2 linked regions of the Arabidopsis thaliana genome follow. The protein of the gene in region 1 interacts with the protein of each later gene in a pairwise test. Each region holds a gene or a part of one and is shown in the gene's direction. Other genes may lie near its edges.

The links. The genes of interacting proteins can lie anywhere in the genome.
Region 2: the proteins of FBH3 (region 1) and AT1G76510 interact in a two-hybrid assay, tested with the Arabidopsis thaliana proteins (one large-scale study listed by BioGRID).

Annotation. Positions count from the first base shown.
Region 1 is NC_003070.9:18,942,515-18,948,217, reverse strand, and holds FBH3 (basic helix-loop-helix (bHLH) DNA-binding superfamily protein), read left to right. Parts: upstream 1-2,405; 5' UTR 2,406-2,604; coding exon 2,605-3,115; intron 3,116-3,394; coding exon 3,395-3,687; intron 3,688-3,802; coding exon 3,803-3,958; intron 3,959-4,064; coding exon 4,065-4,130; intron 4,131-4,214; coding exon 4,215-4,283; intron 4,284-4,371; coding exon 4,372-4,416; 3' UTR 4,417-4,771; downstream 4,772-5,703.
Region 2 is NC_003070.9:28,707,403-28,714,513, reverse strand, and holds AT1G76510 (ARID/BRIGHT DNA-binding domain-containing protein), read left to right. Parts: upstream 1-1,565; 5' UTR 1,566-1,780; intron 1,781-2,003; 5' UTR 2,004-2,015; coding exon 2,016-2,411; intron 2,412-2,548; coding exon 2,549-2,682; intron 2,683-2,784; coding exon 2,785-2,824; intron 2,825-3,201; coding exon 3,202-3,254; intron 3,255-3,334; coding exon 3,335-3,449; intron 3,450-3,660; coding exon 3,661-3,753; intron 3,754-4,117; coding exon 4,118-4,240; intron 4,241-4,327; coding exon 4,328-4,376; intron 4,377-4,460; coding exon 4,461-4,524; intron 4,525-4,797; coding exon 4,798-4,864; intron 4,865-5,049; coding exon 5,050-5,100; intron 5,101-5,315; coding exon 5,316-5,408; intron 5,409-5,491; coding exon 5,492-5,583; coding exon of another isoform or gene 5,584-5,587; exon of another isoform or gene 5,588-5,721; coding exon 5,722-5,833; 3' UTR 5,834-6,175; downstream 6,176-7,111.

The DNA of each region.
Region 1 (5,703 bases):
AAGAAGAGTTGTGAAAGGAGAAGAAGTGGATGAGTTAGGTTGTCGTAGAAGAAAGCAGAAGATGAAGCAAAAAGATCATTGGGCCATGAATCTTATTAAGGCCCATAATGCTAATGGGTTTCGATATTTAAGTTAAGAACAAAGTAGTAAGCCTAAGCTCATTAACATTTCAGTTGGTTTAGTGAGTTTATTACTTTGGTCGAAATGAATGTACATTATATGTGTTCATTGAATTATAAGTTTTTAAAACAAAATTATGCATGCACTTTTCTAATCAATTGTAACTACACTAGATATTGACCTGAATATAGTTCAATGAAACTGAAACTGTTATTTTAAAACCATATATAGATTAATCAATGCATACTAAGATTTCAAGAAAAAGGGACTAAATGTGCTGAAAAAAGCTAAAACCAAAAAGACTTTTTGAAGACATTTTTTTTATAAACAATAAGAAAGTGAGAAAGATTCTAAATTGGTGGCTTACTATTTCTAGGAAGAGGATCTTCACGCCTAAGTTCCACGTGAGATTGTGCTTCTTCTGTTGTATTCCACCTCGATTCTCACATTCTCAAACCTTATCTTATATTTATGGGTATTGTTTTCTTTGTTCCAAAGTAACGAGTACTTTCTTGACACCAAAATGTTTCCTTACAAACAAAATATAGAAAACGATTAGAATTTATATTTAGCTTTTGCTCTGCAGTTTCTATTCTATGTTAACAACCCAGATCTAAAAATATAAAAGTTGCTAAATTCATTGCTGATTTAGGATTTTAAAAATACTATATAACAGCTTCCTGAATTCATTAATTAGTTTGTGAAAGAAATCCAAAATTTGTTTTTTTCTTGAGGATATCACCAATTTTTTAAAACTGAAGTACAGATAGATTACAAGCGTTTGATATTTTTAAGTATAATTAACGCCCAAGGCATTAATCGGTATCAAACTATTTTGCTGCATAAATATTTTGTTTTTTGATCCACTAACACAAACTGTTAAAAAAATTAAAATAATTCATTGGTTGGAATTGAATCTCTTACTACACTACAATAACGTTTAGTTAAAATGACGCTCAAATTACTCATACAATATTTTTCTTCTTAATTGGGCAACCAATTATAAAATTATTTTTCAATTAATATGTGATTAAAAAAATTACTCATGTAGTCATATTAATTTGCCGTGTAAAACTCTTGTTTCATGGATTGTAACTATGGCCCGACTCTGATTATGTCCCTTAACATGAATATAAGCACTTTATCGATTTGAATTCGGTTTGGTCATGGCCGGCCTTCCGCATAAGCCACATAAGCGGCAGCTTAGGGTCACATTTTTTTCCCCTTTGATTTTAAGGTCCACTTTTGATGAATCAAGAAGTTACATTGCACTACCATGTCATATATATTCACATTTCTGATTTTTTCTACACATATTTATATAAGTATTTATCTTTTTTCTATTAACCAGTTTGTATTTCATCGAATAGCAAGAAAGTTCAATACTATTCGACTCTCAAGTGTTTTTCCAAATCAAACACGCAAATACGACATATTAATTGAAGTGGATAATGAAATTTGAATTCGGATATGTATTAGTAGTTGTTGTTATGTACAGTATTTTGTAGATTAAATAGCACTTGGTCTTTAAACTTTAAACAAGTACTAGTATTATACAAAAACGTAAGTACAATACGTGTCCTATATTTTATGCGGAGGTACATACGTGTTTAAACGTGAATAGTTGGATTAAGTCGCTTGAAAGGTTCCCTAAAATTTGGAGCCCTAGACTGCCATATCAACAACACCTGTCTGATCCTCCAACTATTTTCATTTCATTTTATTCTTCTTTTTATATTTTTGGATTTTATTTATTTTTTTATAATTTATTAATAAATATTATAGTTTGTTTTTCTTTTTAAGTTATCCGTCATTTCAATATACGTCATATCGACATATGTCCTTTTTCTCAGCCATTTTTATTGCTTTATAAGTCAACAGCTTTAATTCCCACAATTATATATAGTCGTCGTTTTATTTTATTAAAAGTTCTGAATCATTTCAATAATTGCTGATTTTAAAATTCATTTATTAAAATTAAAAATAAGATAAAGTCCAAAAAACATTAAAAAAAAGCTGCTGATATTTTTCTTTGAAAAACGAGAAAAATCATTTAATAGCCACACTGATTGGAAGTATACCAAATTTACAAAAAATAATAATCACATCGAAAAAAAAAAAATTGACATCAAAATATTTTTCTCGAAAACAATATTTATTTTTCACTGTTACATAACATTATAAAAATGTTAACGTGGTCCCCACGTGGCCTACACGTGTCAGCATCAAGGGTTCCACTCGTAATAAGAAGACACCATAAAGGGTATTTTAGTCAAATCACAAATAAATCCCAATCTCTACCTGCCCTCTGTTGTTTCTTCCTCTCCTCTTCTCTCTTGCACATAAGTTTCTCTCACGTTCTCTTTTTTAATTTTAATTTCTCGCCGGAAACAATCTCATCTCCCGGCGAACGAAACTTCCGGTGTGGTACTGCAAACGGAGAAAAAAATAACCAAAGAAGAGAGAAACTCAAAAGCTACTAAGATGGAATCAGAATTCCAGCAACATCACTTCCTTCTCCACGATCATCAACACCAGAGACCAAGAAACTCAGGATTGATTCGTTACCAATCAGCACCAAGTTCGTACTTTTCGAGTTTCGGTGAATCAATCGAAGAGTTTTTAGATCGACCCACAAGTCCTGAAACTGAGCGAATCTTATCTGGCTTTTTACAAACCACCGACACAAGCGACAACGTTGATAGTTTCCTTCACCATACTTTTAACAGTGATGGAACTGAGAAGAAACCTCCGGAAGTTAAAACAGAGGACGAAGATGCTGAAATTCCGGTGACTGCGACGGCGACGGCGATGGAGGTTGTTGTTTCCGGTGATGGTGAAATCTCAGTGAATCCTGAAGTATCGATTGGGTATGTGGCTTCGGTTTCGAGGAATAAGAGACCAAGAGAGAAAGATGATCGGACTCCGGTGAATAATCTAGCTCGTCATAATAGTTCACCGGCCGGATTATTTTCATCCATTGATGTTGAAACAGGTTTGACTCTTTTCTTTCTAGTTTTAATTAGAAATTATTTCCTAATCTGGAAACTTTTTCTGGTAACTTTTATGAGAATATACTTAGGATTTTGATAGGACTATAATGATTTTAAAGCAACTTGCTTGTTTTGGTCTCTGTAGATTGGATTCTATTGATTTGCTATTTATTACAGATATTATCTGCAACTAGTACTTTGTTAATCACTAAATTTGGTGATGAATGAAAAGTGAAGTCTTTTTGAATCTTTTGTTCTGTTTTTTCTTGGAAATTTTGCAGCTTATGCAGCTGTAATGAAAAGTATGGGAGGTTTTGGAGGAAGTAATGTGATGAGTACAAGCAATACTGAAGCTTCGTCTCTTACTCCTAGAAGCAAGTTACTTCCTCCTACTTCTAGAGCGATGAGTCCGATCTCTGAGGTTGATGTTAAACCCGGTTTCTCGTCTAGATTGCCTCCTCGGACGCTTTCCGGTGGGTTTAATCGTTCTTTTGGGAATGAAGGGTCTGCTTCTTCCAAGCTTACAGCTCTTGCTAGGACCCAATCTGGAGGTCTAGATCAATACAAAACCAAGGTATGAACTTATAATGAGAGACGTTTTGCCATTGAAACCAACTTCTTGCGGTTGAAAATTCATTCTGCTATTGTTCTTGTTTGATTGATTGTACTAAAGAAATTCAATTTAACAGGATGAGGATTCAGCAAGTAGACGTCCTCCTTTGGCACATCACATGAGTTTGCCCAAGTCTTTATCAGATATTGAACAGTTACTGTCAGATTCTATCCCATGTAAGATCAGAGCCAAGCGGGGTTGTGCAACTCATCCTCGAAGCATAGCCGAGAGGGTAAATCTTTCCCCTTACTATTATGCTCTCAGTGGCATTGATTCCATGATGATATAATATCAGTTTCTCCAACGATTATATATGTTTCCAAAATGTTGTGGAACAGGTGAGAAGAACCAAGATCAGTGAAAGAATGAGGAAGCTGCAAGACCTTGTTCCAAACATGGACACGGTTAGATTATGCGATCTTCCTCTCTCATATTCGTACTTTCATGTTCTTTGCTCAATGTATTTATCATCTTCAATTGATATGCAGCAAACAAACACAGCAGACATGTTGGATCTTGCGGTTCAATACATCAAGGACCTGCAAGAACAAGTGAAGGTAATGATCTCACTAGTGTTGCATACTAATCACTCTTGAATCCCTTTGTTCACTCTGTAAGAAACTGAATACTTTTATTTTTGGTCAGGCGCTCGAAGAGAGTCGGGCAAGATGTAGATGCTCTAGTGCGTGAAACTAGAAGTGGGAGTATGCGCGAGTGCTAGCCAGGGAGGGAGTTGTGCATAGAAGTATCGGTTCGGCCTTTGGAGAAAAGTCGAAGATAGCAAAGTAGAGAAGAGATCATGAACAAAGCTAAATTTGGTGGTGGTGGTGAAAAGGGTTTTTGTAAAGTTGGAACCTTTTTTTGGTAGGGAAGAAAGTAGCAAGGTTGTGTAATGGTCCGAACTCCAATGCTATTGTATGTTCTTACATCCAAAAAAAAGAAAAGCAGAAGAGAAGTGATGTACAATGAGAAGCTTATTTTATTGTAACTCAAGAATAATTCAGGTAATTAGTTTATTTTCTTTTGTTAGAAACTTAGAATCATCAACAATTTCATAAATCTTGAACATATGACTATAATGGTAAAAAAGACCAACTAACTAAGATAAGTTGCTAGCTTAAAGATAATTTCATAAATCCACAAACTTTTATCTTAGATAATCAAGTAGGTGCTCGAAACATGATACGACGATTCAAGAGTTTGTTATTAAACTTTTTGTATTCATTTTTTCTTCATCTAAGTATCCAAAATCGAAGTTTAGTAGTCTCCAAGATCTGTGGAAGATGTGGTAGTCATATTTTTTACTATTTAAATTATTTACAATGGTTGATCTCCTTGACATGTGGAAAAATGGTATCTTACAAGTTACAATTTAAAAACATTCATAATGGTCAATCATGATATTTGGAATGAATCATTAAAGCTTGAATCATACATTAACTTCAAATTTTTTTTTCTTACTCATTCTTCTTTGTTATAGAGCTGAATCCAAAACTACATTTAAGACGTTCTATGTGAACACACATATTCGCTCCACTTTATCCGTTTTCTTCGTTCCTATTGTTCATATGATAATCTGTATAAAATCAAGGAATATTCTCTATATTTTAGAATTAAATTTATCATTATTAAAAATGTTTACATATTAAAACTTAAAGTTTTTGAACGAAACAAAATCTATAATATTTCTTTTAATTTGATGTTATGAATCGACCCTACGAAGCATATACATCACAGTCCTTAAGTCTTGTCCAAACAAAAAAGATGGGCAAAATCTTGCCAACATTGATTATTGTTGGGGACCATGTCTTTGTTGTTTCTTTCTTTGCTCTTTTTAGGCAGTCATGTGAAGGTGCACTAAGTTGTGGGAGTGACACGTGACAAAGATATTGTAAAATTTTGCTTCTTAAGGTTACAAGTGTTAATCATCAGCTTAAAACCAAAAAGGTTCGTTAGGTAAAAAGGTATTACGATATG
Region 2 (7,111 bases), 9.8 Mb from region 1:
ATATTGCAAAGTGTTCATCGATTGTTGAAGATTTATTATTTATTTTATTTTATATATTTTTTTAAAAAAAACATTTTTCTTTTTGTCATCTATTTTTAAGGGGAATTGTTATAAAAATGTACATTTTCATATGCGTCGTAAGAAATTTGAAATGGAAACAAAACTGAATGAGAATAAGATAATAGTGTGGTGGCTTAAATTAATTGTGTGATGGAAGCGTACCAACGAAACGATCGAATATTAATGATAACGGAAAATTCAAATTAGTGTGTGAGGCTGCGACCAGTGTCCGTCCATAAAATTCAATGCAAGATATAAATGTAACAACCCCAATATCAAAATAGTCGACTAATTCTTACCAAAAAAAAACAATTAGCGAATAATTAGAATTATCATACAGTGCTAAAAATATGTATATATATATATACGAGATACAAATATTTAAGTATATATTGTCAAAGTGCAAATTTTAGTGATTTATTAATGAAAAATACACAATAGACTGGATAATTGTAGAAGTGGGATATATTATACACACTACAATAAAAATCTCTTATGTGACTCGAATCCTATAACTCTTCTCATGTGAAGCAAGAGATATTAGACCATCCTTAATTCCTTATATGTAAGCTTATTGTATATGCAACAAGCCTAATGAAGGCCATGTCATGAGCTATCTTCTTATTTATCTATCTTATTAGAGCATGAATAAACTTGTTTGTATAGGATTTCTACTCACACAAGAGACTTGTGAATATGTATTTTTAAAGAGGTTAATTAACAGTATTTGATATTTCTATGATCTCATAGCTATGAATATGATGATTCAAAGAACGTGAACAAAAGATATCTGTAACAAAAAGAAAAGGACAAAGATATGTCAAATTGAAATGCTCCACTCGTTTTAATGTCCGTGAATGAAAATAACAAACTTGACATATATTGAAAATCTTGATTTGTACTATTGGAAATGTGGGGCATCAAAGACTATTATTCCCTAAAAATAATGGTCCTTAATTCATTAGAATTTTGGACAAAAAGCTTTGCTTAATTCTGTACCATTTTGCTTCGAATGAATATGCTCATACTATTTGTTATCCTTTGGATCCACACCAATTCATTAAATTGCAATTATTTGTCACTTTGACAAGTACTATACCTACATACTGAGAAAATCATCATCACCATAATTGTAAAGTTAATCACGTTAATTATATGCTAGCTAGTCTATAATTAAAGATTCAAACACTATATTTTTTTGGTACAACAAAAACTCTATATTGAACATGAACGCACAATGCTTCGATATTTCTTTCTCTATCTTTAGTAACAAATAAAAACACAACAACAATCGAGACAAGCAGAAACCTACGTTGTCTTCCGTGTTTAATTGGGCCTAAGATTATATTCATAATATACCTTACATATTGAGCCCATAGTTTACAATAATGGGCTTTGTTATGTAAATGGGTCGTAAAAGTCCAACTTTCTGAAATATCATTAATAAGTTTTGCTATTAAGATCTTCGTTAAGAGTTAATACAAGTAACAAGCATTAATTTCTTTCTTAATGAATTCATGTGTTCATTATATCATCCGTATAAATCTTTTGATCTGCATATCTCTCCGTTTAATTGATATCTTTCCGTTTCTCGCTTCTTTTTCTCCGCCGGCGTCCTTCCATTTCGCCGGCTGCTATCGAACCCTAACCCGCGACGACTCCACCGTCTCCGGCGTCTTCTTCTTCCGGCGAAACCGGTAACCGTATCTTTTGTTTCTATGTATGTACTCCATGATTTCGTGAAGCTCTGCTTTCTAATGCTTTAGTCGCCATCACTGTTTGAATTATAGCGAATCAGTGAGAGAGTAGGACTCAGAGTTTTGATGCGTTCCAATTCTCGATTACATGCGTCTTGCATTCTCTCTGGAATTATCAATAGTGCGTTTCTATTTATGATTTCTGGATTTTGAATTCTGCGTTGTTGTTGTGATGCTATGTCTCAGAGAATTAGCTTCATGATGGCGGATACTGAAATGCAAGAGCAAGATGTGCCGTCTGGTACCAAAGGTGTTGTAGAGGAGCCTTCAGAACTAGAGAAAGACCTAAACTCTATTGAAAGACCTAAGTCCCCTGTTCCAGAGGATACGACTCATACTTTGGATAGTGATGTTCATTTATCTGATGCTCCCATTGCTAATCAAATTGAGGCTAATGAAGAGGTTGGTGGTCAGAACAGTGTTGATGGGAGGAATGGTGATGTTGATCAGTCTGAAAAGAAGATTACTAGTGATGGCGGTCAAGAGGAGACAACACTTGGGGAATCAAATCCTTTGAAGGGGGATCCGTCGAGTCCTCATGTTCCTGAAGAAAGTGTTAAGAAGTGGAAGACATGGTTGTTGAGTGATGCTGAGGTGATGAGAGCACTTTTCTGTCACATTTCAGACAACTAGTCTGCCTGCATTTGCGTTAAGCGTTGAATATTGTTTTTTGTGAGATCTGTGGTCATCACAGTGGCTCTATTTCATCACGAGTTCACGTTTTTATACAGGCCAGGGAAGTTGATGAAGCAGGGGCACCACAGGATCAAGAGGCGTTTATTAAAGAAGTGGAGGCCTTCAACAAGGAGAATTTCCTGGAATTTAAAGCCCCAAAGTTTTACGGACAGCCCTTAAATTGTCTCAAGTGAGTTGTTGGAAGTGTTGCTTTAATTCTTGGAAAATTCCATACTTTTGGTTATGCCTTGTTTGACGTGATAACGTCTGCATGCTTTACTTTGAAATGTAGGCTTTGGAGAGCCGTTATCAAGTTAGGTGGCTACGATGTGGTAATGATCTACTTTCGAACTTCCAATGATTTTATGTTTACTAAGATCTTCTCCTCCCTCTTCCCCTTTAGGAGGTTAAAAATCTTTTAGATTATTATCTACAGGTCATGCGATTTATACGTTTTGGGTTGTATAACGTGTGAACTATAGCTAATGAATGAGAAGATGATTTAAGAACAAGGAATGGCTTCCGGAAATAATTAAGTCAATGCAGTTATGTGTTAATTATGTTAGGTCTGTGTTTTGGCAACTGAACTTGCTTAGTGTCATCTACTCTGTTTGAAAGTTTATACTCAAATCTATCCCACCGCCCACGTTGCTTGAAACTCTATGTCTGTGGTATTCAAAATTCCTATGATTTTCATTTTCTTATATAGGTCACCACATCTAAGCTATGGCGGCAAGTTGGAGAATCGTTCCATCCTCCAAAGTATGGCTTGTATTGTCCTCAATCTTCAACCTTTTCCGCTTTCTTGTATGAAATTGACTTTCCACATTTTTGTTATTCAGAACATGCACTACAGTCTCCTGGACATTCCGCATTTTCTATGAAAAGGTGAATTTCATTTTTGGTCTAAGTACTGAATATGCATTGATATTAATGAGGTTGTACTTGTTCAGTTTAGTTCATACATGTTCGATTCAGACAATGTTCTTTTGCTCCTTTTGTCAGTAGTGTGTCTGAGACTAGCTGGTTTCGTTATCATTTATGTCGTGGTTTAGTAGCCTTCTAACAGTTTATTTGGATTGACTCCTTCCTAACATGGAGTCTGGTTGATTTCTATCCTATCAAGATGTGGAAATTTCATTATTTGTATCCTTATTTCCAACCGCAGGCACTTTTGGAGTATGAGAAGCATTTAAGGCAAAATGGTGAGCTTAACCTTCCTGGTTCAGCTTCTCTTCCGTCTTCAGGCATTGAAAAGGAGGTTAGAATTCCTATGAAATTGTGTAATTCTTATGCTTTTGGGTAGGTGAACACTTTGAGAGGAGGTCAATTTAAGAGTAGGTAAACCATGTTGTTAAATTAGATAAAGTGAAAGCTCTGCAGTTCTTTATAAAATCATTTTATACAGATGGAAATTTCGGGCATGAGTAATATCAGCTTAACATGTTGAATACTACTCTCTGCAATCTGATTGAATAAAGCTGTACCGTTTTGTGTTATATGGGAAACATAAGAAATAATATGTACACAACACAGCTAATTACCAATTTAAGCTCCCTAAAACAGAATTTTAAACTTTATATGCCTTCCCTTTTTCTCTCATTGATATAAGGGCACTTATGTAGGCAAGTAGCCATCAAGCTTCAGGGTCAGGCAGAACAAGAAGAGATGCTGCAGCTCGTGCTATGCAAGGTTGGCATTCTCAGCGCCTTCTTGGATCTGGGGAGGTTACTGAGCCTATTGTTAAGGTTTCTATTTAGACCTTACCACGTTTCATAATTCACCATGCACAAACTTACGCTTCAACATGATTCTGTTTGTACATATATTTTCAGGAGAAAGGCTTGAATTCAACCCCAAAGCAAAAGAACCTCAAAAACATTGGTAATATTCCTAAGCGATGGCTATTGTTCTCCACTACCTACAGAATGATTACCTAATGCCACCGTGTATAAATGTTCTTTTCAGGTGTGCAGAAACAAAAAACAACAACCGGCATGGACCTTGTTTTTTCACACGAATCAGAAAAACAGTTACGAAAGATAATCATCTCCTGTATTTTTGTGTTGCTTATGCAAGATTGCTTTACCATGTGCAATTCCATACAATCTTATCCATCGAAAAACCCTGCATTGTCAATGTTTGGTAGATCACAAGCACTGTTTTCTGGGTGGTAGTTGTAAGAACTGCCATTTCAGAAATAGCGCAGGAGATTAAATGAATACAGAGAATTTTGTAACTTGTCTTTTCATTTCGTTTATTATAATCAGAGCAAAAGATTGATAATATGGTTTTGGCTTGATAGGTCAACTGCCGAGGTTATAGATGTTGGACCCCCTGCAGACTGGGTGAAGATCAATGTCAGAGAAACTGTGAGTACCACTTCCGCTTCCCCCCTCATATAATGCAACGCTTACCCAACTCTTGAAACTAGAGACATGAGAAAGAAAAAAAGTCAAAAACAACACTGCCTGAAGAAAGGGAAATAACTGCAATCTGGGTTTTTGTTTTGAATCTGAAATCTTACCAAATTTATTTTTGTTGTCTTTATTTACAGAAAGACTGCTTTGAGATATTTGCCCTGGTACCTGGACTTCTTCGCGAAGAGGTGAGCTTTTCTCCTTGGAATTCAATCTCTAAAGCTTCTTTGATCAGTGTTTTGTCACTGGAGTGTTACTGATTCCTACGACATAGATGTGAACATATACTGGATTCGAATCTAAATACACACACTGTTGTCCGTTGTAATGAATTTCATAGTAATTTTTTGTGTGATTGCACACAGAATCTAGTTCCTCAATATAAGTTGATTTCTTCTTTCAGGTCCGTGTTCAGTCAGACCCTGCAGGGCGGCTAGTTATAGCAGGCCAACCTGAGCAACTTGACAATCCTTGGGGAATCACACCCTTCAAAAAGGTTAGATTCTAACACTCCAAACAGAGCCCTAGTTGCTAATTGAAGGATAGTTGTCAATTGTTTTCCGATTTTGGTTATGGTAGGTTGTGAACTTTCCCGCAAGAATCGATCCGCTGCACACGTCAGCGGTTGTGAGCCTGCATGGTCGACTGTTTGTGCGAGTCCCATTTGAGCAGTGACCGGTCTCATCCCAAGTGAGCTAGTTCTTTATTTGTCTCTTTGTTTTCTTTTAGGAATTCGTTTGTATCAGAACTAAAAACAAACGATAGCAAATGTGATAGTTTGACTGTGACTTGAGTTCTGAATATTAAAGTAGAGAAATGAATATTGATGTTCCATATAAAGTTAGTAAGGAAGCTGTTCCTTATACCTTCAAGTATGCAACCAACAATCACAGTGTCTGGTATATATCTTTTAGAAAATGAAGTTTTCATCTGTTTTCTCTGTTTATTTCAGTTTCAGGTTTCACATAAAGAAAACTTACAATTTATAGTTCAATCAAGTTAAATGGCTCCTATTGTAGGAGAGTACTGAAGTTTTATGGGCTGGAAGCTTTTGGGTTGAGTTAAATGGCCTGAAAATTAGGCCTTAGATGTGTCGTGTTGCTTTCGTGATCCACAATTGCATTCATATATATATATATATATATGATGAGGAAAGTCAAGAAAATTTTTTTTGAAGAAAAAAACTAAACATATTATTGCAACTTCCAATTTGCATTAGACCCAATATTATATATTTACATCTAACACGTTTTGTGATTTTTAGATATTCATGCTTATCTATTTTCTGTTGACATCAGACAAAAATTAGCAAAACATTCTATTGTAATAGTTAATAATATGTGACTATACTACTATAGTATACAATTTTTGTTTAAGTTCTCTCTTTTTACAACCGTGAGATTCTTGGTCGAATTCATACCAATCTTCAGAATTTATGAAAAAGTATGATATTATTTTCATGTAAAACAATTACAATAACAAATCATACTTAAAAATGTTGTAGTTCGAACCATGATCCTTTAAGTAACATATGTTCTTCAAGCTCTATGGCCCACACAATAGTGTAGACCTTCTTCTTTTTTGGGTGTAAAATAGTTAGTAGTCTAGATAGTGTAGAACATATGTTACTTAAAGGATCTATATATCTATCCAATCATAATTCGTATATATAGGGAAACCTTCACATTTACGTTTACTTATCAGCCGTTCGTATAAAACACACAATGAACAAGATTTCTTAACCCAATCGTTGCTCAACTGCATGTAAGGCACTTGACATGAGCACATGGATATCTTAAAAAGATAAAGTCACAGTGCATGTATCGAAAAGGTCTCAAAGTACATTACCCTTTATTCTCTTTACATGGTTGAAGCCCTAAAATGTCAAATATATGAAAATTATGAAAATAAGAGGTTTTTAAACCATCTCTCATTCTCATTGTATAACAGTAAACATGATGAGACTCCATTTCTTATATACATAAATGTCACCTGTCTTCTCTTAGAAGCTCATTGAAGATATTTCACCACAAATCTCCTTTGGACATGCATTGGTCATGTACAAGCTTTTCCTTTCACTTGATTTTCTTTTTAAATATACGTTTTCATACGGTCCATACATAGTTTCCCTAGGGACTTGATGCATTCCTCATTTTCACACATCTTTGTACTTAAAGCCCCACTTGGCTGTGTTGTTAT